7 linked regions of the Ovis aries genome follow. The protein of the gene in region 3 interacts with the protein of the main gene of each other region in a biochemical or structural test. Links are inferred from orthologs where the notes say so. Each region holds a gene or a part of one and is shown on either strand. Other genes may lie near its edges. The genes, in order: CUL4B, PSMD4, NEDD8, POLI, NUB1, HDAC6 and OTUB1.

What was found.
Region 1: the proteins of NEDD8 (region 3) and CUL4B form a complex in vitro, tested with the Homo sapiens proteins (2 studies listed by BioGRID). The link is inferred for Ovis aries from reciprocal best matches to the Homo sapiens genes NEDD8 and CUL4B.
Region 2: the proteins of NEDD8 (region 3) and PSMD4 form a complex in vitro, tested with the Homo sapiens proteins (2 studies listed by BioGRID). The link is inferred for Ovis aries from reciprocal best matches to the Homo sapiens genes NEDD8 and PSMD4.
Region 4: the proteins of NEDD8 (region 3) and POLI form a complex in vitro, tested with the Homo sapiens proteins (2 studies listed by BioGRID, with this or other methods). The link is inferred for Ovis aries from reciprocal best matches to the Homo sapiens genes NEDD8 and POLI.
Region 5: the proteins of NEDD8 (region 3) and NUB1 form a complex in vitro, tested with the Homo sapiens proteins (4 studies listed by BioGRID). The link is inferred for Ovis aries from reciprocal best matches to the Homo sapiens genes NEDD8 and NUB1.
Region 6: the proteins of NEDD8 (region 3) and HDAC6 form a complex in vitro, tested with the Homo sapiens proteins (2 studies listed by BioGRID). The link is inferred for Ovis aries from reciprocal best matches to the Homo sapiens genes NEDD8 and HDAC6.
Region 7: the proteins of NEDD8 (region 3) and OTUB1 form a complex in vitro, tested with the Homo sapiens proteins (2 studies listed by BioGRID, with this or other methods). The link is inferred for Ovis aries from reciprocal best matches to the Homo sapiens genes NEDD8 and OTUB1.

Annotation. Positions count from the first base shown.
Region 1 is NC_056080.1:104,877,681-104,881,180, reverse strand, and holds part of CUL4B (cullin-4B), read left to right. Parts: intron 1-3,012; coding exon 3,013-3,117; intron 3,118-3,500.
Region 2 is NC_056054.1:101,142,646-101,146,685, forward strand, and holds the start of PSMD4 (26S proteasome non-ATPase regulatory subunit 4), read left to right. Parts: upstream 1-1,240; 5' UTR 1,241-1,255; coding exon 1,256-1,281; intron 1,282-4,040. UniProt on the Homo sapiens protein: Component of the 26S proteasome, a multiprotein complex involved in the ATP-dependent degradation of ubiquitinated proteins.
Region 3 is NC_056060.1:20,759,894-20,762,816, reverse strand, and holds the end of NEDD8 (NEDD8), read right to left. Parts: intron 1,736-2,923; coding exon 1,688-1,735; intron 1,520-1,687; coding exon 1,437-1,519; intron 871-1,436; coding exon 774-870; 3' UTR 501-773; downstream 1-500. UniProt on the Homo sapiens protein: Ubiquitin-like protein which plays an important role in cell cycle control and embryogenesis via its conjugation to a limited number of cellular proteins, such as cullins or p53/TP53.
Region 4 is NC_056076.1:54,034,412-54,037,911, forward strand, and holds part of POLI (DNA polymerase iota), read left to right. Parts: intron 1-2,092; exon of another isoform or gene 2,093-2,158; intron 2,159-2,700; coding exon 2,701-2,853; intron 2,854-3,500. UniProt on the Homo sapiens protein: Error-prone DNA polymerase specifically involved in DNA repair. Plays an important role in translesion synthesis, where the normal high-fidelity DNA polymerases cannot proceed and DNA synthesis stalls. Favors Hoogsteen base-pairing in the active site.
Region 5 is NC_056057.1:115,531,670-115,535,169, reverse strand, and holds part of NUB1 (NEDD8 ultimate buster 1), read right to left. Parts: intron 2,340-3,500; coding exon 2,233-2,339; intron 1-2,232. UniProt on the Homo sapiens protein: Specific down-regulator of the NEDD8 conjugation system. Recruits NEDD8, UBD, and their conjugates to the proteasome for degradation. Isoform 1 promotes the degradation of NEDD8 more efficiently than isoform 2.
Region 6 is NC_056080.1:56,256,806-56,261,047, reverse strand, and holds the start of HDAC6 (histone deacetylase 6), read left to right. Parts: upstream 1-1,442; 5' UTR 1,443-1,475; exon of another isoform or gene 1,476-1,569; intron 1,570-1,745; exon of another isoform or gene 1,746-1,924; intron 1,925-2,062; exon of another isoform or gene 2,063-2,266; intron 2,267-2,323; exon of another isoform or gene 2,324-2,442; intron 2,443-2,622; 5' UTR 2,623-2,652; coding exon 2,653-2,745; intron 2,746-2,830; coding exon 2,831-2,992; intron 2,993-3,074; coding exon 3,075-3,163; intron 3,164-4,242.
Region 7 is NC_056074.1:38,767,155-38,771,237, forward strand, and holds the start of OTUB1 (ubiquitin thioesterase OTUB1), read left to right. Parts: upstream 1-1,283; 5' UTR 1,284-1,304; coding exon 1,305-1,362; intron 1,363-3,529; coding exon 3,530-3,591; intron 3,592-3,838; coding exon 3,839-3,937; intron 3,938-4,083. UniProt on the Homo sapiens protein: Hydrolase that can specifically remove 'Lys-48'-linked conjugated ubiquitin from proteins and plays an important regulatory role at the level of protein turnover by preventing degradation.

The sequences.
Region 1 (3,500 bases), on a different chromosome or scaffold from region 3:
CTCAAAACCCAAAAACTATGAGAGAGCACGTAGTGAAAAGTTTCATTTCCACTCCAACCTCCCTGCCCCAGCAAACAAATGTTATTAGGGGTATCATTCCAGAAATGTTTCATGTGTGCAAAAACAGATGTGTGGAGGTTTTCTCAATTTTCTTTTTTATATATACATAAATGATAGTAGACCACTATTCAGCACCACACCATGCAGTCCTTTGTATTTTTTTATACCTGTTAGGCAATTTCTCCATAACAATACCTGAAGAGCTTGATGGAAAAGTTCTTAAAGATGGAAAATTACTCAATCTGGTCTATATGTTAAGCAGTCAAGGCTAAATTAGAGACTAGTAAGGGGTTCTGTTCCATCTTGACCTTCAAAATTCACCTTAGATCCTCCTGCCTTGGCCTTTCCTTCTTTTATTGCTTCTAATAACTTAAACCTGGTGACAGAGGATGAGATGGTTGAATGGCTTCACCAATGCAATGGACGTGAACTTGGGCAAACTCCAGGAGATGGTGAGGGACAGGGAAGCCTGGTGTGCTGCAGTCCATGGGGTTGCCAAGAATCGGACACGACTTGGTGAATGAACAACAACAATCTTAAACCGCTTTCTAAGCACACGTGAAGCCATATGCATATAATGTGCATGCACACACACTTGGTTGCTCAGTTGTGTCCAAATGGTAACCCACTCCAGTATTCTTGCCTGGAGAATCCCATGGATGGAGAAGCCTGGTGGGCTACAGTCCACAGGGTCGCAGTCGGACATGACTGAGCGACTTCACTTTCACTTTCATTTTTCATGGACTGTAGCCTGCCAGGCTCCTCTGTCCATTGAGTTCTTCAGGCAGGAGTACTGGAGCGGGTTGCCATTTCCTACTCCAGGGCATCTTCCCAACTCAGGGATCGAACCTGCATCTCTTGAATCTCCTGCATTGGCAGGTGGATTCTCTACCATTGCTCCACCTGGGCCCAATTCTCTTTTTCTCACTATTCCCATAAGCTCTTTATCCACATCCCTCTGGGTCTTTGGAACTCCACCTCTTTACTGCTGCTCAGCAAGCCTTTCCTGACTTTTCCCTGCCATAAAGATTGAGTTAGAGACCTCACCTCTATGTTTATCCCCATCATAGCACCTAATAGTGTGTTGTAATTACATATTTTCTGACCAGTTTTCACTTTATGCTGTAAGCCTCTTCTGTGTGTAGGACACATTGCTAGTTATAAGTACATTAGTTTTTTGAATATTTATTATATTCTCCTGGTTTAGAGCCCCAGAAGTATTAAAGAACATACAGGTACATGAGCCCATGGTCTGGTCTCTTTCTGTCATTAAGGAGAGTTGGGGGCCAGGATATACACATTCAAAGATACAGTGTTGATTCAGTGACAGGTCAGTATGGTATGACTGTTGGTAGTGCCATACGAGTCATTGGTAGCTGAGACAGTTAAGGAAAGTTTATTGGAAGAAGTGGAACCTAGCTGAGTAGTAAGGGAATGTGGTATCCTGTATGAGAAGATAAACAGGTGGGATGAGAACTAACGTATGGAAGAAAGTATCACAGCAGAAGGGAATGGTAGAAGTAGGACTTGGAAAAGTACTTGAAGTGGGAAATGTGAAGAAAATGCACTACAAAGACAACTTAAGCAGGGAAACAAGAAACGCTGAGAAAATCAATCATTCAAAAGGAACACCAAGATACAATGAGAAGACTACTAAAGGAGGAAGAGAGTCCATAGGGGATCATTGTGAACCAGTCAGGCACATGAAATAAACGCACTCTTAGACATTTGTGGCCTGACCCAAGGCCCCATCGTAAGTGGTGGCCAGCAGGAACTTCGCTTCCTTATTCCTCGTTAGCTGCTGGGTCTAAGTGGTCTGCTGTTTGCTGGTAAGGTGTAGCACCTTTCCTCCTTTAGTATAAGTGGTTTCATTTAAGCTTTCTTTTCATTTATGAGTTTATTTGCTGGACCTGCATGCTGGGAATATGACTTCCAACTACATATTTATAAAATTTCAATCCAACCAACAGGACTTGGATGGTCCCTTAGAGTCAATTTTAATGGAATTTTTGCCTTCTCTTGTGGTGAGAAAGAAATCCTGGTGTTATACTTAAGTCATTACTAGTTGGAATTGTAGATTATTTCAGAGTTCTACCATGCCTGTTGTATTAAATTTGAAAGTCTTTTGATACACCTAAGAAGAAACTCAGTGAAATCTCAGTTTTGTCCTTTTGGGATTTGACTATAAAAGACCAATCCAACAATTAGAAAAAATAAAAATTCAGTATTTCTTTAGGAGTTAATGTTTATTCCATTGTGCAAAATTTTAAAATGGCTATTTAAATATTCTTAAGCTGCAGTGTTGGAGATAAATCCTTGTATAATTATTTCATTCTTATAACACTGCTTGCAACAAATTCTGGATTGCTCTGTTCAGGAAAACCAAAGAAAGTATAAATAAATTTAAATTCAGTGGTAGTTGGACTGCCCAGTGAAAGTGAAAGTCACTCAGTTGTGTCCAACTCCTTGCAACCCCATGGACTATACAGTCCATGGAATTCTCTAGGCCAGAATACTGGAGTAGGTAGCCTTTCCCTTCTCCCCAAACTATCTAATAAACAGTTGGTAAAATTATTTTTCAAACTCAAAATGGAATTCTGCTTAGAAAAACAATTAACATTTTTATGAATAAGACAGAGTTTATATGTAGCAGTTGTTATAAATTCAGTGTCTTTACAAGTGGAGAATTTGGCTTGATTCCCCCCATACTTAAACTGTACTGCCAGAATAAACAGATTTGGGGAGGGGTGGTATACTACACTGGTTATGAAAAAAGTTCACTAATTGCATTGATATTTGGTGGTTTTACCTTGTGTTTTAAATGGATGACATCCTTTTTAATAAGTTAACATGGTAGAAATAACAAATAATAGGAATTAGATGTAAATAATCAAGAAATATATATACAGAGATACATTCACTCCTTAAGAAAGTATGTGTTTAATTTTGCAGGCTGTGGAAAATCTCTGTTCTTACAAGATTTCTGCAAACTTGTACAAACAGCTGAGACAGATTTGTGAAGATCACATCAAAGCACAGATTCATCAGTTCAGAGAATATCCTTTTAAAAACAAAAAAACCTTGTATTTTCATCTTTTCCTCCCTCTGTCCCTCACTTTTTAAACCAGCTTAAAATGGAATGCCTATGTTTTGTAGATTTGTTGGGTTTTGTTCATCTTGCCTCTAGGGAAACGTAAAATTTCACTTTTTACCTCTAATTAGGGTCCAAATCTACATTGTACCACTAACGTAAATAAAATTTCTTTATGTCTTTACTCTTATTGTCCTCACAAATTTCCATTTGAGGAAAGATAATCAGGAAATAATGAACTGAAAACACAGTGCTCAATTACATCTAAGACTTGCTTTTTGTTGTTTTGTTTTGACCTTGTGGCATGTGGGTTCTTAGTTCCCAACCATAGATTGATCAAACTCATGGC
Region 2 (4,040 bases), on a different chromosome or scaffold from region 3:
CAAGGAACAAACTGGTGCTCTCTGCAGTGGAAGTGCAGAGTCCTAACCATTGAACTGTCAGGGAATTTCCAGCCAAGGCATTTTTAATTAAAATAATTTTATTTTTATTTTTTGGCCATACCATGACAGATGTGGGATCTTAGTTACCCCACCAGGGTATGAGCCCACAGCCCCTCCACTGAAAGTGCAGAGTCTTAATCACTGTACCACTAGAGAAATCCCTAAGACATTTTAAAATGTAATTCTTCTTTTGAGGGATGCTGCACTGGGTCTTAGTTGTGGCATGTAGGATCTATTTCCCTGACCAGGGATTGAACCTGGGGCCCCCTGCACTAGGAGCACAGTCTTAGCCACTAGACTGCCAGGGAAGTCACTAAAATGTGATTTGATTAAAAAGCGAAAGTGATTGACTAGGTTGTCTCCCATTCTTTGGGAGATTAGTTAAAATTATTGATTCATCAAACTTTTTTCTGCCTTCCTACCATATGTCAGGCTTTGTAGTGGACTTAGGGATAGCAGAGATTGACACTTCTCTTGCCCTTAATGGGGACTTCCCTGATGGCTCAGACGGTGAAGAACCTGCCTGCAGTGCAGGAGATCGGTCCGATCCCTGGATTGGGGAAGATCCCCTGCAGAAGGAAATTGCCACCCACTCCAGAATTCTTGCCTGGAGAATTCCACGGACAGAGAAGCCTGGCGGGCTACAATCCATGGAGTCGCAAAGAGGGGGACACGACTGAGCGACTAACACTTTCACTTTCTTTTGCCCTTAATGAAATGAGAAAGACAGATACACAAACAAATGCAGTTCAGAGGTATAAGTGCTTAGTAGTTTGATGAACAAAGTGCCATGGGGAACCGGGGGAGCTGGAAAGTCAGTAGTCAGTAGTCATCCCACCAGTTTTTAAAAACGATGATGCTGGAATAGACATAGCTTCAGCACTTTCAGAAGTTCCTTCACGTTTTTTCTTAGCTCTTCTCTGCAAGGAACGCCACCAGAAAACCTGAATGGCAGGGCAGGTGGAGGTGTGGCCCTCTTTTTTGTGTTACTTGGCCCCTCCCTCCGCCCCAAACAGCTCCCACTTTTTTTTTTCTTTCTGGCGGCGCCTACAACTCCCAGAAAGCAACACGGGGATGAAGGCGGAACCAGCTGGCCCAACCGAGGTCAGTGATTGGTGATGCGCGCCGGGCCAATTGGAGGAGCTGTTGTTTAGTGGTCTAGGAGAACCGGTCGGGGAGGGAGGAAGGAGGCACGATGGTGTTGGAAAGCACTATGGTTTGGTGAGGAGCCACCTCGGGCCCCCTTGGGCAGCGGGACTGGGTCGGGGGCGCCTGTAGCTCGGAGGCCAGGCGGTCCTGGGGTGGGCGAGGGGGCCTGGTGGAAGAGATGAGGCCTTGGGCCGGGAGGAAAGGAGCTCCAGCGACTCCCTGAGTCATCCCGGGGCCCCAGAGGTAGTTCCCGACGGACGGGCCCGAGGTACCCCCCTTAACCCTCAGTCCGCGGACAGTCATTGACCGGTCCTGCTATTTTTCTCCATTACAGCGTCGTCTTCTCTAGACCAGCCTACATCTGTCTTTAGCTAGAGTCCTGCTTCTCGGACTCACCGTGCTAGTCTTCTGCCTTCCTCTCCTTTTCACAATGATGGGTGTTAGGAAGAGAGTTTCAGCTCCCTTCCTTGCCCCACTCACTTGTCGCTAACTCCTTTGCTTTTCCTGGTGTTACCGTCAAAGGCACTACAAGAGTACTTTTTAAGTGTTTGTGGCTTAGTCGTTAAGTCGTGTCGGACTCTTGGCGATTCCATGGACTGTAGCCCGCTGGGCTCCTCTGTCCCTGGGATTTTCCAGGCAAGAATCCTGGAGTGGTTTGCCATTTCCTTCTCCAGAGGATCTTCCCGACCCTGGGAACGAATGCGGATTTCCTGTACTGCAGGCAGATTCTTTACTAAGCTACCTTCTAAATGTTAGGCATTTAATTTGCTTCATCTCACTTAAGCCTCACAATACTCCCTCCCTTTTACAGATGAGGATACCGCGTCTCGGCAGTTTTAAATGACTTACACAGAATCACACAGCAGGTTAAGTGGTGGAGCCTAGGTTTAAACTCAGGATTATCTGACTCAAAGACGCTTCGGCACTTATCCAGTGAGCTCTCATCAGTCTGACTTGGCTAGCTGTTAAAACTGAGGACCACACTTTTGCAAGGTTTCAAGAGTTTCTTCTAAGTGTGAGCCTGGAATGAAAACAGAATAATACACAAACACACACAAATCCCCAGTTGCATGGAACAGACACCTAAGGGTTTTCTTTTTGCTGGGTAGATACTGTTGCCAGATAGCACATAGGATGCCCAGTAAAATTTAAATTTCAGATAAACAATTATTTTTAATATCACAATGGCCATGTGTATGTCCCACATATTGGATGGGACATACTTTCACTAGAAAGTTACTGTTGTTTGTCTGAAATTCAGATTTAACTGGGAGTCCTGTATTTTCTGTTCTTTATTTGTTTTTGGCTGTGCCGGGTCTTCACTGCTTTTGCCTGGGCTTTCTATAGTTGCTGGGACCTGGGGCTACTGTTTGTTGTGGTGAGGGTTTGCAGGGTTCTGGTTGCTGTGGAACACAGGCTCTAGGCGCCGGAGCTTCAGTAGTTGTGGCACACAGGCTCAGTAGTTGCAGCTCACTTGGGCTTAGCTGCTGTGTAGCATGTGGGATCTTCCCAGACCAGGGATCGAACCCATGTTCTCTGCATTGGCAGGCGAACTCTTTACTACTGTGTCACCAGGGAATTCTGGGAGCCCTGTATTTTCATTTGCTAAATATGGCAGCCTCTGGACGAAAGCAAGTTAAGAGTAGAAAGAGGACAGGATTTGGAATCCAAAATCCTGTGTTTGGGGTACTTTCCAGCCGCATGTTCTTGAGAATGTAGTAAATCTCTCACTTTAGCTATAAAATGCGAATATAATAGTAACATCTACTCTTCTCATAGCAAGGGTAGGCAGTGTGTGTCGTGGTGCTCTGTAAACTGCAGCACTCTGCATCTGTTAGTTGCCATGATGCTTAAGAAGTCCTCAGGAAAGAATTTAAGAGGGTCCTTGAAGGGACTTAGACAAATGTTAAGGAGAGGCCATTACATGTAAGGAGAAGGGCATAAGGAAAGCTGCTGAAGTGTACATTCTCAAGGCTTGTTTAGGGAGTAGAAAATGGACTAGTGTGGCTTCATTATTAGGTTGTTGGTTGAAGGTGGTTCCCTTTTTTGGAGAAAGGGGCATGCAGCCAGGTAGAAGAGCACAGATGTCGGGTTGAGGAGGCTGAATTCTGCCCTTTACCCTTCAATGGAGGACTACTGAAAACGTTCTGAGGCTGGTGGAGCCAGAGCTATATACAAAATGGGATTTAAGAATGCTGATCTGGCTTGGGGTATGGGAGGAAAGGTTAGGTCCAGAGTGATGCACTGGCACCCTGTTGTAACAGCCCAGCCATAGAAGAGCAGTGAAAGCCACTTCTTTGCTCATGCTTTGCTGGCCCTCAGAAAGTTGTGTATATTTGATTCTGCTTGGTCTGGTGGCTCAGACTCCCAGCCAGGGAAGCTTAGGCATCTGTATTTTTTTTTTTTTTTAATGAAAATTTTATGGAATAGCTGGATAATTTTGTCAGCCCTTATTTTGATATAAAATTTTATTGGGAAAAATTACTGTTGAGTGAAAGTAGTCACAGGAAATGCATGTATTATCCTGTCTGTATAAAGTTCAATGTTGGGAAAAGCAAACTGCATTTTTTAGGGGTGCACACATAGGTGTGCAAGCATCTGTGTTTTTACCAGTGCCAGCACCGTCACCCTCAAAGTGGTTCTGATACACTCGTGACAGCAGGAGGACCGCTCTCGTGTTCTGCACAGCAGGTTCTTCCTCCCTCTCAGCTGCCCCCCCCCCCCCCCCCCCACCTCCCAGGGCTTCCTCTGACATCTTTCTTCCAGCCTTCATCCATCTGCTGGTCTTGCCCACAGCCTTTGTACTTAGTAGCTATTGCAGCTGGATGATC
Region 3 (2,923 bases):
ACTCACTCTCCTGGTTTCTAACACCTACATCAATAGTATGCTGAAAGATATTTAACAACCAGTTTGGGGGGAAGGACTGATTTGTATTGTCAATTTCTGTAAATACTCTGACCGTGGCCAATTTCAAGCTACCAACATGAAGTCAGTTAATATGGGGCTGGGAAAGATGCCAGCGATTAACTCTGGCACAAGTAACAGTTGGCTCTGGCACACTCCTGAGTATATACACTTACAGTTTGAGAATTCCTCCAAGGGTGCATTCCTGTCCATTGTCACAGTCCTTCAGCCTGGTGTAACTGGGTGTGCACCGGGTCCGTTCTGGGTTTTTTTTTACCACACCCAAAACTAAGATCCGACTGGTTCTGTGGGATCTTAGTTCCCCAACCAGGGCCTGAACTCTAGCCCTTAGCAGTGAAAGCACGGAATCCTAACCACTGAACCACTGGGGAATTCCCTGGGTCCACTTTGATTTCAGTCACATTTGTGCAATAGAAGAAAGATTCCAGGAGGTCAAGAAATATTTTATTGAGAACCAGGGACACAGCCATAAGAGAGCGAAGCACACAGGACTGCAAACTAAAACCCAGTAGCCAGCAAGGGCCCTCTGGGCCAGGAACACTGCCTCCTGGGGTCCTCACAGTCTCCCACCAGCAGACACACAAGACTGGGCAGCCAGGGGAGCGGGGAGTGGTTCTGGTGTCCCACAGAGGGAGAGGATATACGATGCCTCATTATGAGTGACAGGGCAGGGAGGTCAAGCGGAGCGGAGTCCATCACTGCCTAAGACCACCCCCTCCTCTCAGAGCCAACACCAGGTGGAGGACTGAGCCACCTAGTATCTTGTAGTCAGCTGCCGTCTTCTCATCATTCCTACAGGAAGAGGCAAAAACAGGAAAACAAGTTGTTAGCAACACCCTTTAGAGTGGCACTCTTGACCTGGGTTTCATGGATCTCTGGAGATCTATGAGTGCATATGAGAAAATAAATTACATCTTTTATGTTTTTACTAACCCCCAACTGTAACTTGATATTTCTTTCAATTTTGAACACAGACAAAAGCCCACAGAGGAATTAGCAATATAGGTAACCTGTTAACAAGAGAAATTAGAGATATTTTCAGACTTCCCTGGTGGCTCAGTGGCAGAGAATCAACCTGCCAGTGCAGGAGACAGAGGTTCAATCCCTGATCTGGAAAGATCCCACATGCTGAGAAGCAGCTAAACCCATGTACCACAGCTGTTGAGCCTGTGCCCTAGATCCCGGGAGCTGAGACTACTGAAGCCCACACGCCCTGCAGCTGGTGCTCTGCAACAAGAGAAGTCACGGCATTGAGAACCCCACGCGCTTCAACTAGAGCAAAGCCAGCGCCGCAAAGACCTAGCATAGCCAAAAAAAAAAATCCCATCACCATACCTTCATTTCCATTCCATACTTACATCTGTTTACCACTGTAGATGAGCCGCTGCTGCTGTGGTGGAATCCCCTCTTTCTCCTCCACACGCTCCTTAATTCGTTCCACCTTTAGGGGTACAAGTAGTCAGGGGCTGCTCAGGGGGAGGGACCATGGAAGTGGAAAGAACAAGAGCTATGCAGATCGCATGAGAGCAAAAGGACTAATTTCATCAGCATACCCAGGCAAAGGCACATGTAGGGAGATAGGCTTGGAGAGGTACTGGGCATACACTACCTTGTCCGTGGGTTCAATGTCAATCTCAATCTCCTTTCCGGTCAGCGTCTGAAATAGGCAAGGCTTTCATAAGTCTTATAGTTCAGTATACAATTTGTCTCCTAGGTAAAACATCCTGGCCTAGCCTTGGGGGATTGACTCCCTCCTGAGAAATGCACATTCTCAGCAAAGTTGATTTGAAGTGTCAGGAGTATTTGCTCAGACCCAATTTCAGACATTTTTAGGCTGTGAACAACTTTGACAGGGGAAGAGTCTGTAAACCATTTGACCTCTTAATCTCACAGGTCATCTCATTCCCCACCCAATTAGAATCCATGAGAATACTATAACTCCTTTGGATAAGACAGCAATGAGAGTTGACCTAAGGAGAGTATTCCTTTGAAAAGGACCTTGTTTTATGTACTAATGCTAGAAATTAACACTCAGATAATTCAAAGCATTCTCAAGGACACTAGAGATCACCTCTGACCAGCTTTTTAAGCAATACTAGAACTCAACATTCTATTCTCCTGTATCTTCTCCAGATTTTCACCTGAATCCTAAAATTGCAGCTCTGGTCTTCTTGACTTATTCCATAGGCTAAGGGTTGCTGATACCCAAAACACAACCATACACTTACAAATGCTGTGCTTCATCCAATCTTATCTCCCATCCATTCTTGCTCTTAAAGCGCCACCTGCATCAGTCTACAGTAATCTAGACTACAAATGGACAGTCTAATTTAGGGACATTTTCTTTGCTTCTACTGTTTTCCTTGTTGCCATCCCCTCTTCCAATCTTTCTCAAACCTTCAAGGGACCCTTTAAGATTGATGACTTGTCACCAATGCACTTTATTTTTTTTTTAATTTTTTTTTTTTACCAATGCACTTTAATAGATATTACAGCTAGTTGTTTTAAGTGTCAAACTCTCCAATTTACACTCCAACTTCCTAAAGGACAGAGACTGTTCAATCTTCCCAGTCTAAGCACAAAGTATGGTGTTTGACATATAAGCAGTCGATAAATATTAATGGAAAGGCTAAATACACTGTTGGCTCAGACGGTAAAGCGTCTGCCTACAATGCGGGAGACCCAGGTTCAATCCCTGGGTCAGGAAGATCTCCTGGAGAAGGAAATGGCAACCCACTCCAGTATTCTTGCCCGGAAAATCCCATGGACGGAGGACCCTGGTAGGCCACAGTCCTTGGGGTCACAGAGAGTCAGACACGACTGAGCGACTTCACTCACTAAATAC
Region 4 (3,500 bases), on a different chromosome or scaffold from region 3:
TGAATTTAAGACGTCTCTATAATGGAATATTATATGGCCATTAAAAATAGCTCAAATGGTATCATTTCATTTGATTCATAGAGGTATGCCTTGTTGAGTGGGTAAAAAGCAAGATGCAAAAACCTGTTATCAGGTTTTTCCATATGTGTAAGACAGTGACCCAAACACCTTCCCCCACATATGTGTATGTGTCTATGTACACTTAGGAAGAGAAAGAAGAGAGGGTGTATACTCGGTATTTAACCCTGGGTAACTTCTGGAGGGGCAGAGGTGGTGCTGAAACAGGGGGATGAGGGAAGAAGGGAGAGCCAAGCAAAAAAGACAAGACTGTACTCCCAAAATACCACTTGTGTATCTGTGCACAATTATATATATATATCTGAATATTCAGAAAATAATTTTTTCTGTACATAGAGATGATGTAATACATATAGTTGTACATCTTTGTTCTTGGTGATCTTTCACATCATCCATATAACTCTTGCCTCATTCTTTTTAATGCCTGCACAGTATTCTATTTTGTCCCAAACTTATTTAACCATTCCTTTACTGATTTGAAGACAGTATATCTCATTTTATGCCTGTTGTCCTTATGTAATCATTAATTGCATCTCCTTTCATTAAAAAAAATATCTCATTTTGGATGATAAATTATGTGGTTTCTCTTATAGTGAGGGGTTATTAGGCTCTTACCAATTTTTTGCTCTTAAAAAATATCAATATGTGCTTCAGTAGACATTTTCATATAGAAATTTTCACATACGTTCATGAAGCTATCCTTAAAGTAAGTTCCTAAAGGTTAACTGCTTGAGCAAAGATAATTTGCATTAGAAATTTGCATACTGCTCTATGATGCACTTCAGGTTTTCCCAGCACATTGTTAGTAAGTGTGAGAGTATTAGATATTCATAAAGATTTTGCCTGATAGTTGGAAAAAAAAGTAAATCGTTGTTTTGATTTGCATTTCTCTATGAGAAGTTTGAGCATTTTTTTCATGTATTTTTGGTCATTTATCTACATGTTTTGTCTTTTTTCCTTTATAATGTCAGACAAATCAGTCTAAATGATTTCTGTACCACTGCAACTCTTCACAGTGAAAAGTATCATACTAGAAAATCAATGCATAAATCTCAGTTTTTACACTGATTCTTAATTTATAAATTAGTATCTTGAAAGAATTAAAAATGCGCTAATATAATAACAAGAAATATTCTAAGCATGATTTATACATTGATAAAAAGTTATTTTGTTAATTTTTTTCATGGTGTTTTTGGAGTTGAAATAGGAATGTAGCCTAATAGTCGTATACTGAATTACCTCAGAACTATTTATGACATATAACCTTATTGTTTACTTTATACCTTTATTCTACAGTATTCCATTTTTTTCTGTAATTACAAACTCCTTTGGCTTGTGTAATCATAAGGTGTAATAAATGCATCTTGTTTATGAAATTGACATATTGACAGCCAAAAAGGTTAACTTCACAAATGGACAAGTGATTTATTCCTATGACCTAGTAATAGAACTAATGTAATCAGTCCATGTTCAGCAGTCCACCAGCTTTGTACATGATTCTGTATTTAACTTGCTTTTCTGCGTGGTAGTTAAAATTTGTCCTTTATTTTCCTTATTGTAGTATTGTTTTGATAAACGTTTATTTTTTACCTGTTACTGCTAGGCATCAGATATATACTTTTGGGAGAAAAAAAGCAAAAATTGGTGAGGGAAATTCAAAGAATTCTTTTATATGGTCAGACACATTGTCAGTTTTTCCCTCTGTTTTCTCTCAGTAGGTTGGAAGTGATTTTTGAAGGTCACTAGATCATACTGTTCCTTTATTAATTGTTTTACCCTGCTGTTTTCAGTGTTAGCACCAATAAAACAGAGCTTTCATATTATAGGACTTTTTTAGAACATAAGCATTTTTGTATAATAAGTGACTAATAAGTTATTTTCTGCTACCCAGCTGGTATCAGTAGATGATTCAGAGAGAAGTGAAAATTCTTCTTAATGGTTTCAAAGTTATTAGTTTTAATCCTAAAAATGAGACTTGATAGTCTTTTTGAACTTATTTCAAATCTTGGTTCAGTTCAATTTAGGAAACATTTGACATAAGGACTGGCATTTGTGCTAGAGGCTGGACGTTCGGATACGTGTGAGTCACGATCCGTCTCTGTCCTTAGGGAACGAGTTGGAGGGTGACTAGTCAAAATGTTGCATTGTAGTATATTTTGTATTAAGGAACTTTTCTTTTTGACTTAGTATTCATTGGAAATTTAAGTTTTATTTTGTTTTGCCTTTTTAAAATTCTAGTGAAAAATATAGCCTGAGTATATTATTACTTTATTTTTCTAAGCAGACTCTATGACCTACTGCTTCAAGATTATAATTAACTATGTTCATTGATATTTAATGTACTACAGATAAATTATTGGTGTAGGAGATTGTGGTAAATATATTGCTATGAGTATCTGCCCAGGAAATGTTATTTTTGGACTTATTTTATTGGAACATATTGCTTTTGCGCAGAATATGGCACAGGAAAAAAAATCCCAGTTAACTGACTTTATTCAAGATATTGTGTAATTGTGAATATATGTAAAACCTTTATTTTGTTATTTTTTAAGCATGAATAAAAGAGTTAAATCTATTCTAGTTATAATCAGTTATATCTGCTCCAATATTATTTTAATTTAGAGTTGTTGGAAGAATTTAGTCCAGTTGTTGAGAGACTTGGGTTTGATGAAAATTTTGTGGATCTAACAGAAATGGTTGAGAAGAGACTAGAGCAGCTTCAGAGTGATGAGCTCTCAGCACTGACTGTGTCGGGCCATGTATACAATAATCAATGTAAGTGGGTTCTTACGCACTCCATTTAGTAACTTAAAGTACCTGCATTTCTTAATGTTCAATCAGTTCAGTGAGTTGACTGTGTCTTTCAAAAGTTCTATGGCTTTTGTTGCCATAGTTCAGCCATCTAAGGTGATTAAAATTAGATATTGTTATTCCATATTAAACAGGCAGAAAATGGTATTTTGATGACATACAGCTCAGTGCTTTGGGCACTTTTCATTTCTCTGACACAGTCCTGTGTTAACCATTTTTAAGTGTCATACCTCTTTTAGGCCATCCTTAAGTTACAGGAGTTGGCTTCTTGGAGTAATTTTTGGTTTTCGTAAAACCATCTTAAGCAAAATTCTAGGTAGACTAAATTTGCCATTGTTGCCTCTTTGCTTGTTCACTTCTATTCTCCCAGGGCAACAAGAGCCTCCCATGTTAGCCCTTGTGGGAGCTTCCTGGCCTACCTACCGTCCTTTGTATGCTCATATTTAATCAGTTGAAATTCATCTACTTAACAATTGAAGTGCCAGTGACTGATGATATTTCCAGGGCAGTATTGTGTTTGAAAATAAGCTGCAGTCAGCTCCACTGAATATCTCCTTGGGCTGTCAAACATCTAGTGACTGCTGGTGACTTCTAGACCCTACCATGTAGAA
Region 5 (3,500 bases), on a different chromosome or scaffold from region 3:
ATCTAAGGTGGTGGTGTGATGCCTTGTTAGGCGGGACCAGAGCAGTCTGGAGGGCGAAATGAGTCCTCCCCCTGCTGCCACGCCCCACTGAATTCTCTGTGGGGGGACGGGGTCCCCTCACAGGTGTGTGCTGACGTCACCGGGCAGAACCCCGGGGTGCCCTCTGCACTCACCATGCTGTCCCTCAGGCAGCTCCCTCCTCCCTGAGCTCCAGCTCGTGCACTGGGGGGAGACCGGGAGGCCCTGCCTGGGTTTCTCCTCCCCACGCTGAGGTCTTGGAACGGCAGGCAGTGAGCTAAAACAATCCACAGGCTCCCCTGCGTTTGTTTCCCCACCTCAGGGACCACTGTCCTGCATTGCCAGAAAACCACTGTTTGTATACAGTTTGTCCCCTGTTTCAGTTGAGGCAGGGGAGAGGAAACCCAGTCCCTGTCACTCCACCCTGGCCAAGAGCAGAACTCCCCTTTCTAGTTGAAAATGGGAGAGAAGCTGCTCTCAGGCCCGCTACGCACCACACCCCAAGATGTGCAACAGAGAGCTGGGAGAGAACTCGAGCTACTCGGAGAAGGCAGGAAGATGTCACGGGGGGAAGGAGGCAGGGACGCCTCTTCCATCTCCACGCTGCCTCGGTTGAGAGTAGACCTCTGACGGAGAGAGGGGACCTGCACAGGAAGTATGCTGGTGAGCTGGCCTGAGTAAACAGGTTCCCCAGAAAATAGCGTTTTCTACCTAAAAAGGCGCTGATAATTATTATTGGATTATTGTATCTATTACTCACTGAACATGTGAATGGACTATGAACTGAAGAGAGAGTTATTATTGTTTTTCAAGGGTTCCCTGAGACCTGAAAATGATTTCAAGGGTTAGACACATCAAGATCAACCCTGTCTTGATAACTGCTGAAGATGAATGAAAAGTCTGTGGGAATTCATTATATTAATCACCAATATTATATATGTTTGAGATTTTCCATAACAGAAAGTTAGAAACGACTGTGGAAGGAAATAAAAAATGTATCTGAATTTAATGACTAACTTACAGCCTACACTGCCTGTACCAGAAGAGAATAATGCTGACACTCAGATAAAAGCAGAGACAAAGAGGCAGGAGAAGAAAACGGCAGAGGCACCAAGCCCCCATTCTGGTTACTCCCTTGCCTCCCAAATATTTTAGGAAATAAAAAAAAAAAAATCCCCCTTTCTGCCTACATTTAAGCTGGTTAAATGCAAGGTGCCACTTGCACAGCTGGCAAACTAGAAACACCAACATTCATCTTCTTGAAGTATGCTGTATGTATGGGGAATTTCTCAAAATGGAAAATAAAATAACACTAAAGCCATTACCTTTCGACCACTGCAAGCATCAAGTCTCTCTCTCAAATGTTCCATCTGCCTGGATCATAGTGTCTTAGTATCATTTCCCATTAAGAGGCACCAGAGAAAGTGCTGGGGCAGGAAATAGCCAGGGTGAGTCTAGACCAGCTTTGGACAACAGACAGCAGAGTACAAAGACCACCGCATCAGGGCAAAGGGCTGCAGCACCACCTGCCCACTGAAGACGGCCACCATAAGCACTGAGGTTTGAAACGAATCTAATGTGTTAAAATCCATGAGCTCAGACTGACACTAAAAAAAAAAAAAAAAAAAAAAGGCAGGGGATGACACCAGTGACGTCATCTTTAGAAGATGCTAGGGAAGCACTCATTTATTCTGAAAACAAGAAAATAAGGAGAAACCAAGCATTTTGTTCTGTCTTTCTGTACAAACTGTACCTCAGGAGAACCCAGCGACTGATGAGGAAAAGTATTTTTCAAATGAATTCCAGCAATACACACAGAAGGAATAATGAGCTATCATTGTTTTGAGCCCCTATGAAACAACGGATTTGGAGAATGATCAGAAACGTGAATACCAAAACGATCAGGCGAAAAGCTGACGGGGACTGTAGAGTCAGCTGTAGCTCAGGCGGGCAACGCATAATAAGAAACAGACATGAAATCCTACATGCTTGTTGTAAAAAAAATTAGTACCTAAGTTTATAAAATTCTTTAGCGATCAATTAGAAATACAATGGGGAGAAAGAGTTCACCAGCCAGTCTACATTGTAACTATTCTTTCACACTGACCATCTTGGGGGAAGCCTGAAGTCTGGGGTGCACAGGGGTGGGGAAGGTGCTGTGCCTAACTGCCACCCTCCTCCAAATTGGCATCCACCAAGGACAAAAGTGCCTACCAGAAATATTTGTCAGCGTCCAACAGACATGGCAAGGCTATTCCATATTCTTTTCTTTTCAGGAAAGCTCTGCCCTTCTCATGATATCCCATAGCTAACATAAGGGCCTAGGGAAAAATAAGGATTTAAAAAAACATCACTTTAAACTATAATAAAACAAATTATATTAAAAGCATATTAAGTCTAAACAAATCAAAGAACATGAAAACAAACAAACAAAAAAAAACCAAGACCACAACTGAATCTAAAAGTCAAAATTAAGGAAAACAGAATTAAAGCTTCATCTCATTTAAACACTGAAACAAGAATTCCATTTAGTGAGTCTGTCCCTTTGAGGGACATTTAATGTGCCTGTCCCTTTGTTTCTATCAATTTATTTTAGTATCTGCTGATCTGGGTCTATTTCTAGTATCCATAAGACTAAACATATTTTTAAAAAGCCAGTAATGACTGTATCCTTTTTAGAAAGAACATTCATTCATTCATTTCACCTCCTATTCTTAATTGGGTTTTTCTCTGAAGAATCTGTCAACTGTAGCATTTCTGAAACAATTTTTGTAAGACGATCCAAATTTCCTTAAAATTCATTAATATTTTTAGATTTGAATTCTTATATAAATATTGTAAAGGTTTTCCACAAAGATCTAAATATTATCATTTAATATGAGGATATAATACTTGCAGTGAGAAAATAATTACCATAAAAAAATGAACTCAGTGAGAGTTACAAAGTTCTCTTATTAAAATTTAACTTTAAACAATGTAACCCATATAGTGAAACCTACTCAAAAATGTCCTTTAAAGATCGAAAAATTAAAATCAACATGACCCACGGCCACTAAAGCTTTTCATGTAAGAAGCTACTGGATTCCAGCTCAGAGACTGATCTCAAGGGCCAAGTTGCAGATGCGGCTAGAAAGACCCCCTTGGATACGCTCAAAGGTAAAGCCATGTCCCCTTACTCCAATTAGAGAGCGGGGCTGCAGGGCCAGAGGGAAGAGGCGGAAGAACCAACTGTCAGCTTTTCTTGGCCCCCATTCTGATCCATCCACTAGGGCATGTGGCCTCGAGGAAAGTAAACTACACCGAGACAAGCACTGCCACAGGAAGCCACTGCTCCAGGACAGGGAGGCCCTGCCATTCTGCACTGAACTCTCCAGGCGGGCCAGCCGGAGGAGATGCTCATTGTAGGTTACATTCTCCGTTTATCAACTGGAGACAGAAGGCTGTTCCTAGTCCTTTATGTAACATTCCAAGACAAAATAAGT
Region 6 (4,242 bases), on a different chromosome or scaffold from region 3:
TCCCTGTCCAGGAACATTTGCTTGACCCAGTACAAGAACACCAGAAATAACCTGACCTTTTCTATGAATCCCTATCCTCACATCTCACATAAAAGGAATGCCACTCCTCAGGAAGCATGGAACCTCTGCACTCATCCTGTAAAAGAATCCCAGCCAGATAAAGGAAACCGAAGACTGACACTGTACAGCAGGGATCCACAAACCGTGACCTTCAGGCCAAAGCCAGACTGCAACCTGTTTTTACACTTTTAAAGAGACAAAAAGAACATAAAGGAGAGAAAAGGAGGGGAAGGGATGGAGAAAAGAAAGAAAGGGAAGCAAAAGAAAGGAAAAGGAAGGAAGAGGGGGAAGGAGAACAGGAAGGAAGACAATGCCACAGTGGCCATATGTGACCTGCAAAGCGTAAAATATTTGTTATCAGCCCCTTTACAGAAAAAGTTTGCCAACGTCAGCTCTAGAGAAATCTCTCTTCTGACTATTCAGAAAAATATGGGCCTTGGCTTTTTCATGACTCCCTACTCTTTTACCCTGCATCACAGTCTCAAAATGCTCCTCAGGGTGTATCACTGTCTACATGCTTTCTTTGGTCTATGCAGAGGTTTAAAGGTCTTAAAGCTGTAACCCTCTTCCACTGGGACAAAAGACATGGTCAGGTAGGAAAAGACTGTAAGGGACGAGAAGGCTCGAACAGGGGTTTGCAAGACGGTCAGAGGACCCAGCTACCGGGCAATGGGGCTGTCAATCTGTTTGTTAGTAAGCGATGTTGAACCCCAGACTGCTTATCTCTCCCACCCCAGCCTACAGCCCAGTAGGAAATGGTGAAGAATGAGACAGGGAGATTAGGAGGACAAACTGGCTTACTGTGGGGCTGACATTTAGACATGTGATGTGAGGTAGCTGGGGATGGGGTGCACAGGGGCAACCTCCCCTACGTGCTAGGCACACACTTTCTATTACACCATGGGAGTAGAAGTGACACTGTGGAGGGCCACCGCCCAAATAAAAACTCCCCTCCTGAGGTCCATTCTGTCTCTGGGCACTATCATTATCACAATTTTCCAGATGAGGAAACTGAAGCACAGAGATGTTCAGTAACTTGCCCAAGGTCACATGGTTAAGTCACGTAACCTTAGTTTCCTCATCTGCAAAGCAGCCTCCAGGAACGACCTCATAGTATTTTGTCTTACGACAATGCCTGTCACATAATACTTGCTATTATCACAATTATTTGCCCCTACCAAGACTCCTTCTGCTCCACCAGTTTCGCGGCAGAATATTAGTATCTAACATTTGGTGAATGTTTCTTGTGCACTACCTTAGTGAACATGAACTCAGAAAATCCTCACATTTATCATCATCACCACTCCCATTTTGGCCGCCACCAGCCTTGTCCAGATTCCAACGCTTTCCAGGCACTACCACCAGCCCGCCCGGGCTACGTCATTACGGCGCGTCGCGCGGGAAGCCACGGGGAGGTGAGAAAGCGCCCCTTCCTAACGCCCTTGTTTGCTTGCTTCCACTCTTGAGTCATCGCACGGTAGGGTGGCGCGGGTCTGGAGGGGCCCTAAGGTAAGTGGACAGGGAATAAGGGACGGCGGCCATGGCCGATAGGACGACAGCGGGGGTGGTTGGGAGAGGGTCGGGCTTGAGCCCCGGCGCTTGGTCGAGCCGCCTGTAGGCGCCTCACGCAGGCGCAGTACGGCCAGCGTCGAGCGCAGAGAAGTGGAGTAGCCGATAGTGAGTCCACGGGAGGTGTGGCCCGCTGTGGGGGCGCGGCGGTGCGGCACGGTCCCCTGTGTGGGCGGAATCGGGGCGGTCTATGGAGAGACTCGGCCCAATGTAAAAGAGGGGATCACGCACCTGCGGTCGTCAGGAATTTGGAGGCTCCAGACAAGGGCGGAGTTTGAGAAAGGGGCTGCACCCGGTGAGTGGCGCGGAAGGGATTGGTCGGTGCCAATGGCGGGGCGAGAAGGAGGAGGGGCCAGCGGAAGGCGGCTCGAACTGACTGAAGGAGCTTGGTGAAGCGCTAGGGGTTGGACTTGGGTAGGGGGTGGGGCCTGTTGGAGGGAAAGAGGCAGTCCCCTGAGGAGCTGGGCTTGTCAAAACGTTAGGGTCAGGATCTAGCCAAATGGAAGGTGCTGGGCTGGCCCGATAAGGGGTGGAGTTAAGTGGATCGTTAAGGGTGGAGTCGGGGCCGGGGCCGGGGCTGGGTCTGGCTGAGTGAAAGGGTGGCTGATGATCTTGGGAGATTGGCTGGAAGGGGCAGGTTTGCGAAGGGGTGGGGTCTGCGCGAGGCTTTGGGGAATGAAAGGGTTGATAGAGCGGAAGGGGCGGAGAGAACGGACTGAGCTTGGGGGTTAATTGCTCTGTTAAAGGGCAAGACTTTGAAAGGAGAAAGAATAGTGTTAAAGGGATGGAGCCTAGTGGAATGGGCGGGACCAGGTAGGATGGACACCCGGTTGGAGGGAGAGAGCCTTGAGAGGTGGAGTTTAAAAGGCGGTCGGGAAGAGCCAGCATAAGGGAAGGAGACTAGCCTAGGGGGCGGGGTCTGGGAAGGGGCTGGTATGTGGGGTCTTCAGGGCGTTCGGGCTCCTTCACCGTCACCTCCACCCCACCCCCCAGGACCGCGTCAGGGGTGAAGTCTCCCCAGCCATGACCTCCACCGGTCAGGATTCCACCACACCCAAGGAGCGAAGGAGTAGGCACAATCCCCCCTCCCCCACCCATGACTCCAGCATCACCTCGGTGAGGCCCCCCAACCTGCCTTGATGAGGGGGAGGGGGAGCAGCGGGCTGTGCATTGGACTCTGACCCTTCTCTCTGTTTGGCAGAAGCGAGGTATTAAAAAGGGTGCCATGCTCCGCTCCAGCCCCAGTCTAGCGGAGGTAAAGAAGAAAGGCAGAATGAAGAAGCTTAGCCAAACAGCCGAGCAAGACCTCATCATGGGGCTGCAAGGGCTGGTGAGAGGCTCCTGGGACAATCAAAACCCTAAGGTTCTCCATCCTGGACAGTGTGGGATGTTCCCTCTGATTCAGGCCCTCAATGCATCAGTCTCTCCCATTTTTTTCCTCGCAGAATCTGAACCTGGAGGCCAGGACACTGTCTGGCACTGGTTTGGTGTTCGATGAACAGCTAAATGAATTCCACTGCCTCTGGGATGACAGGTGAGGCTGGCTCCTCCAGGCCACACCCAGTGCACAAATATATGCACTTAGAGCCCATTAGCAAGAATGAACCCTTTCTTACTCTAGCCTAGAGACTGGAAGCAAGTGATTTAGGGAGATGGGGATCAGGCTCGAATGGGTTCTTTTCATTTAGCCAACGAACATTTATTGAGTGCCTACTGTGTGCCAGACATGATACGAATGTGTCAGACAAGACAGACAGGGAGCTGACAAGTAGGAGAACAGGTCGCTAAATAGCCGTCAGCAACGTGAGGTATTTGGTGAAGGAGGACTTAAGACCAGGGCTTTCAAGAGTGTTTACTAGAGGACCTTAGATTAGTAACCAGGGTTCTCAGGAGGCTTCCTTGAAGAAGGGACCTTTGTGCTGAAATGGAAGAATTACACTTCCCATTCAGTCACATGTTGCAATCCATCAGCAAATTCTTTTGGCTGTTTGAAATGGATTCAGAATCTGACCTCTCCTTGCCATCTCCACTGCCACCACCATTATGACTCACCTAGACTTGCAGAGACCTCCTTGCTTCCACCCTCGCCCCTATTGCCTGTTCTCCATACAACAGCCTAAAAGAATACATACAATGATGTTCTCTCTCTTAAAGTCTTTCAAGGACAGACTGTTTCCCTGAAGGTAAAGTTTAAATTCTTCATCCTGGCCTTCAGCGTTCCATGTGACCTGGTTCCATATCACCTCCATGACCTCTTCAGCCAATCCTACCCCTCATTTGCTTCACTTCACTTCATGCACACTGATCCCCTTGCTGTTCTTCCAACATGCCTGGCATTCTCTCATCTCAGCCTCCTCTCCCAGTTAACATTCAGATCTCAAGGAGACCCTTGGAGAGGGCTTTGCCTGGCCACTCCCCTTTCCCCACACCTGAGATATTCCTAACCGATGCCATTGTTTTGTCCATTATTATTCTTATGTGGAGAATGAAATGGCAATCCACTCCAGTATTCTTGCCTGGGAAATCCCATGGACAGAGGAGCCTGGTGGGCTACCGTCTATGGAGTCGCAGAGTCGGACATGACTTAGTGACTACAACTTGCTTAAGTGTTTA
Region 7 (4,083 bases), on a different chromosome or scaffold from region 3:
CGAGAAGCCCAGTGTGGTAGGAGTGGGATCCAAATGGGTAGCCCCTTTGCTTCCTTGAATTTCGAAGCAAACACAAGGATTGGTGGTGACCTAGGAAATAGTAATTTGCCATGTTGCTGGGGCAAAGACTTGGCATGTGTAGCGTTGCTGTGAGAGCGCCACTGTGGGCAGTGTGGTGAGCCCAGGCACCAACCGTCCCTACTCCAGAACTGGATGTAGCTCATGAAGATATTCATCCTATTCTGCACCTGTATTATCATGAACGGAGGGATCTGATTGGGGCTCAGACACGGCCTCCTCAAGTGCTAAGAGACCACTGTCATATCATGGAAAAGGCCCTCCATAGAGAAAGGCAAAGGAACAGTACCCCTGAAGGTGACTTCTCTAAATAACTGCATCTTCAGCATCCAAGGCCTTGACACTTTTTAAGTTTTATTTTTAGATAATTCACAGGTGATTTTAACAGAGTACACAGAAAGATCCTGGGTATCCTTTACCCACTTTCCCCCACTGGTAACATCTTGCGTTTGAAGCTACAGTACAGCATATTCCAGGATCTCCATATATATTCAAGATAAAGAGCACTTCTGTCTCCACAAGGATACTTCTGTTTCATTTTTATAACCACATCCACTTCCCTCCTTACTCCGACTCAACCCTTGGGAACCACGAATCTGTTTTTCATTGTTGTCAACTTCTATCTTAAAAAAAAAAAAAATCCTGATTTTCTCATAACCACAAGGGCAGGTAGTCCAAAGTAAGGTCGACCCCGAGGGACGTGGTCTCTCGGTCAGAAGCAGGACACCAAAGCCCGCTCGGAACCGAGACTCGGTGGAGGGGGGCGGTGAATTCCCAGAGCTCGGATATTAGCAGAATTCCCGGTCTCCTCGGCCAAGTGATCCTCATTGCATTCGCCTGTCTTGAGTTCTGGAGCCCGCAGCGGGAATTGCCTTCCGTGATTTGAATTTCATTTTCCTGCTTATCTCAATAATACAATCCGCGTTTCAAACTCTAGTGAAAAGAAAACTCAAGTGGCCCCAGGAAGCTCTTATCACCACCTGGCACATTGGGAGCCTGGAAAGATGGAACCGAGCAAGTGTGCGGGAGGAGGGCGGGCGGGGATTGCCCTCACTTCCCCGGCTTCCGCCGCCGCCGAACGAGACTGCGAGCCCCTCGGGTGACTACGCCCGAGGGGATCCCGTTGCTAGGGGCGTTACCAAGGAGGGGCCTCGAGGAGGGGCTGTCTTCCGGGGGGAGGCCGACTAGTAACCCGGAAGCGGTCGGCAGTGCGGCGCTGTTTAAAGATGGCGGCGGAGGAACCTCAGCAGCAGAAGCAGGAGCCGCTTGGCAGCGACTCCGAAGGTACCGACCAGGGGAGAGCCGCCCGGCCTGGGCTAGCGGGGGCGATGCCGGATGGCCGGTTCCCGAGGAAACCAGGGCTGGGGCGGCTGGCGGCGAAGCGAGCGGAGGGCCCCTTCCCCCGCGTCCGCCGCCTCCCCTCCCCCTCACAATGGAAGGAGCCGCCGCCGCGACCCCTGGCCGGCCGGGCGGCGGGAGAGAAAGCGGGCCGGCCTCCGGCCCGCGACTCTTCCCTGTCGCGCGCTCCTGGGGCGGGGCCTAGGCCGCTCCGCCCCTCCACCCCCCGCCCAGCCCCCTCCCCGCTGGGCGTCCGGCTCCCGGGTCCCGGCTCTCCCGCCCCGGACCTGGCAGTCAGGCCCGGGCCTAGTCCGGCCCCGTCTAGTCCGCCTCCTCCAGAGCGGCCCGAGCCCGGGAGGGCGTCGAATTACGCCGGGCTGCGGAGCACAAAGGACTGGGCGGGCCGCTGGGGATGCTGCGGGCCGCCCGGGGTTGTGAGCGGCCGTAGGTGTGTGCCCAGGAGGGCAGCGCCCTTCGTTTCCGGTAGAGTCCCCTCTCCTAGCCTCGCAGCCCCTTGCTTCCTGTCTCGGCATAGTTTCCTTAGACCCCTGAAGAGTTGGACCTCTCAAAACGGTCCCACCCTCTTCTTTTCACCCCTGAGTTAGACACTGGGGACTGAGGAGGTCACTAGGGTTGGGAGGGATGGCCCAGTTGCAGTGCAGTGTCGGGGGTGGGTGGAAGCCCAGCTGAGGCCCCGGCCTGCTCAAGATCAAAAGGATTGGCCTTAAAAGTCATTTAGCACACAGCTCCCTCTCTAACCGCACACTGAAAAACAGCTTTTGGGGACCTAGACCCTCCCCCCAATCCCCGAAGGGACTGGTTTAGGATCGTGTAAGTTAAGAAAGAACCAGAGCCAGGATTCAGGTCTCCTGGCTCCTCACCAGTGGCTGCTTGGCATGGGGCCCACAGGGTGGACCCGCCCAACTCAGTGATGAGTATTGAACTACACCTCTTAAGGTACCATCTCCTCAGGGCATCACAGTGAAGGGAGGAAGGTGGTGCTATCTGTCTCTATTCACAGCTGATGATGAGCCTCTGCAGTGAGGTGCCAGGGGAGTTATTGTGGCAAAGAGCCCAGGCTTTGCAATTAGACAAACCTGGGATTGACCACAGGTCTTCCTCGTCGCGACTTCGGGCAGGTGATTTCACCTGTCTGCGTTTTTGTTCTTTGTAAAATGGGCACCACTACGAATACCCAGGATGGCAGGTGGAGGAATGGTGTGACTGAGGAAAGCAAAGCGCTCATCTAGCCGAAGATGGTCTGCTTCCTCATCTGTCTTTCCTCAATAGACCTGGCTCAGGGGCCTTCCGGGCTGCTCGGAAGTGATGTTAGAGAGCAGGGGGAGAGGGCTTGTTCGAGCTGGAAGAGTGTACCCTGGGGGGCGATCACCTTGGCCTGCTTACTTTATTTTCCACCATTTATTTATACTTATTTGGCTGTGCCAGGTCTCAGTTATGGCATGTGGGATCTAGTTCCCAGACCAAGGATCAAACTCAGTGTAAGATCGGACCCCGGGGGGCCATGATGGGCCGCCCCTTCCCTCCCCCGTCGGCGGGGGAAGTCCCTAAGGAAGGGGCCTCCCAGATCCCGGGGACCAGTGACAGCACAGTTTGCCAGCTAAAGCTGCCCCACCTCCGCCACGTAGAAGGACGTATCAGCCCGTGACGCCTCGGCCCGGCAACCTATCCAAACCCCCATCCACTAACCTGGCCATCCCTCGCAGCGTGCATATATAAACAAACTTCTAACACGTTCTGGGCGGGTCCGGGAACCCCGCCCGGGAGCGCTTCGCCATTAAAGCCTGTTAGACACTCTTTTGGTGTCCTGGTCGTCTTTTACCTAACACCCAGGCCCCCTTGCATTGGGAGCTCGGAGCCTTAGCCACTGGACCTCCAGGGAAGTCCCTGGCCTCCTCCCTTTAAAGATGAGATAACTCATGCCCAGGAAATGGAAGGACTTTGCCAAGATCCCACAGTTGGGGTGGAGCAGGGCATGATGCATGCTTCCAGATTGCACGTCTGCTCTCCTGGCCCGTTCTTGTCCTCGGCCCAGCTTCCTGGAGTGGGGAGAGCCAGGGCCCACTGTAATACTTGGCCTTCTTCCTTTTTCCAGGTGTTAACTGTCTTGCTTATGATGAAGCCATCATGGCTCAGCAGGACCGAATTCAGCAAGAGGTGAGTGGCTGTGGCCAGTGGCCTTACTTTGGGGATACATTGGTTGGACTGAGGCCTACCGTTTGTCTTTACTGTGGAAGCTCCCTCCTCCCCAGGCTGAGCTGATACTAGATGCCTTTATGGGGAGAATGTGAGGTCCATGTGCCGCTGGGTGACTGGCCCAGCCACTCTCAGCTAGATGTTCGGGCTGACAGGTGTGGGTCACTCCATTTGCCTGTCAGAGTGTAATGGATTCCCCATCCCACAGATTGCTGTGCAGAACCCACTGGTCTCGGAGCGGCTGGAGCTCTCTGTCCTATACAAAGAATATGCTGAGGATGACAACATCTATCAACAGAAGATCAAGGTGGGAGCCTGGCCAGGGGACAGGAAGAGCCCTCGGGTGGGGGCAGGAGCCTGGCCACTTGATACCTGCGCTTGGCTGGGCCTGGCCTCAGAGGGGTGGACGGTTGGGGAGCCCTCTGGTCACTGGTTCACAGGTTGGCAGAGTCT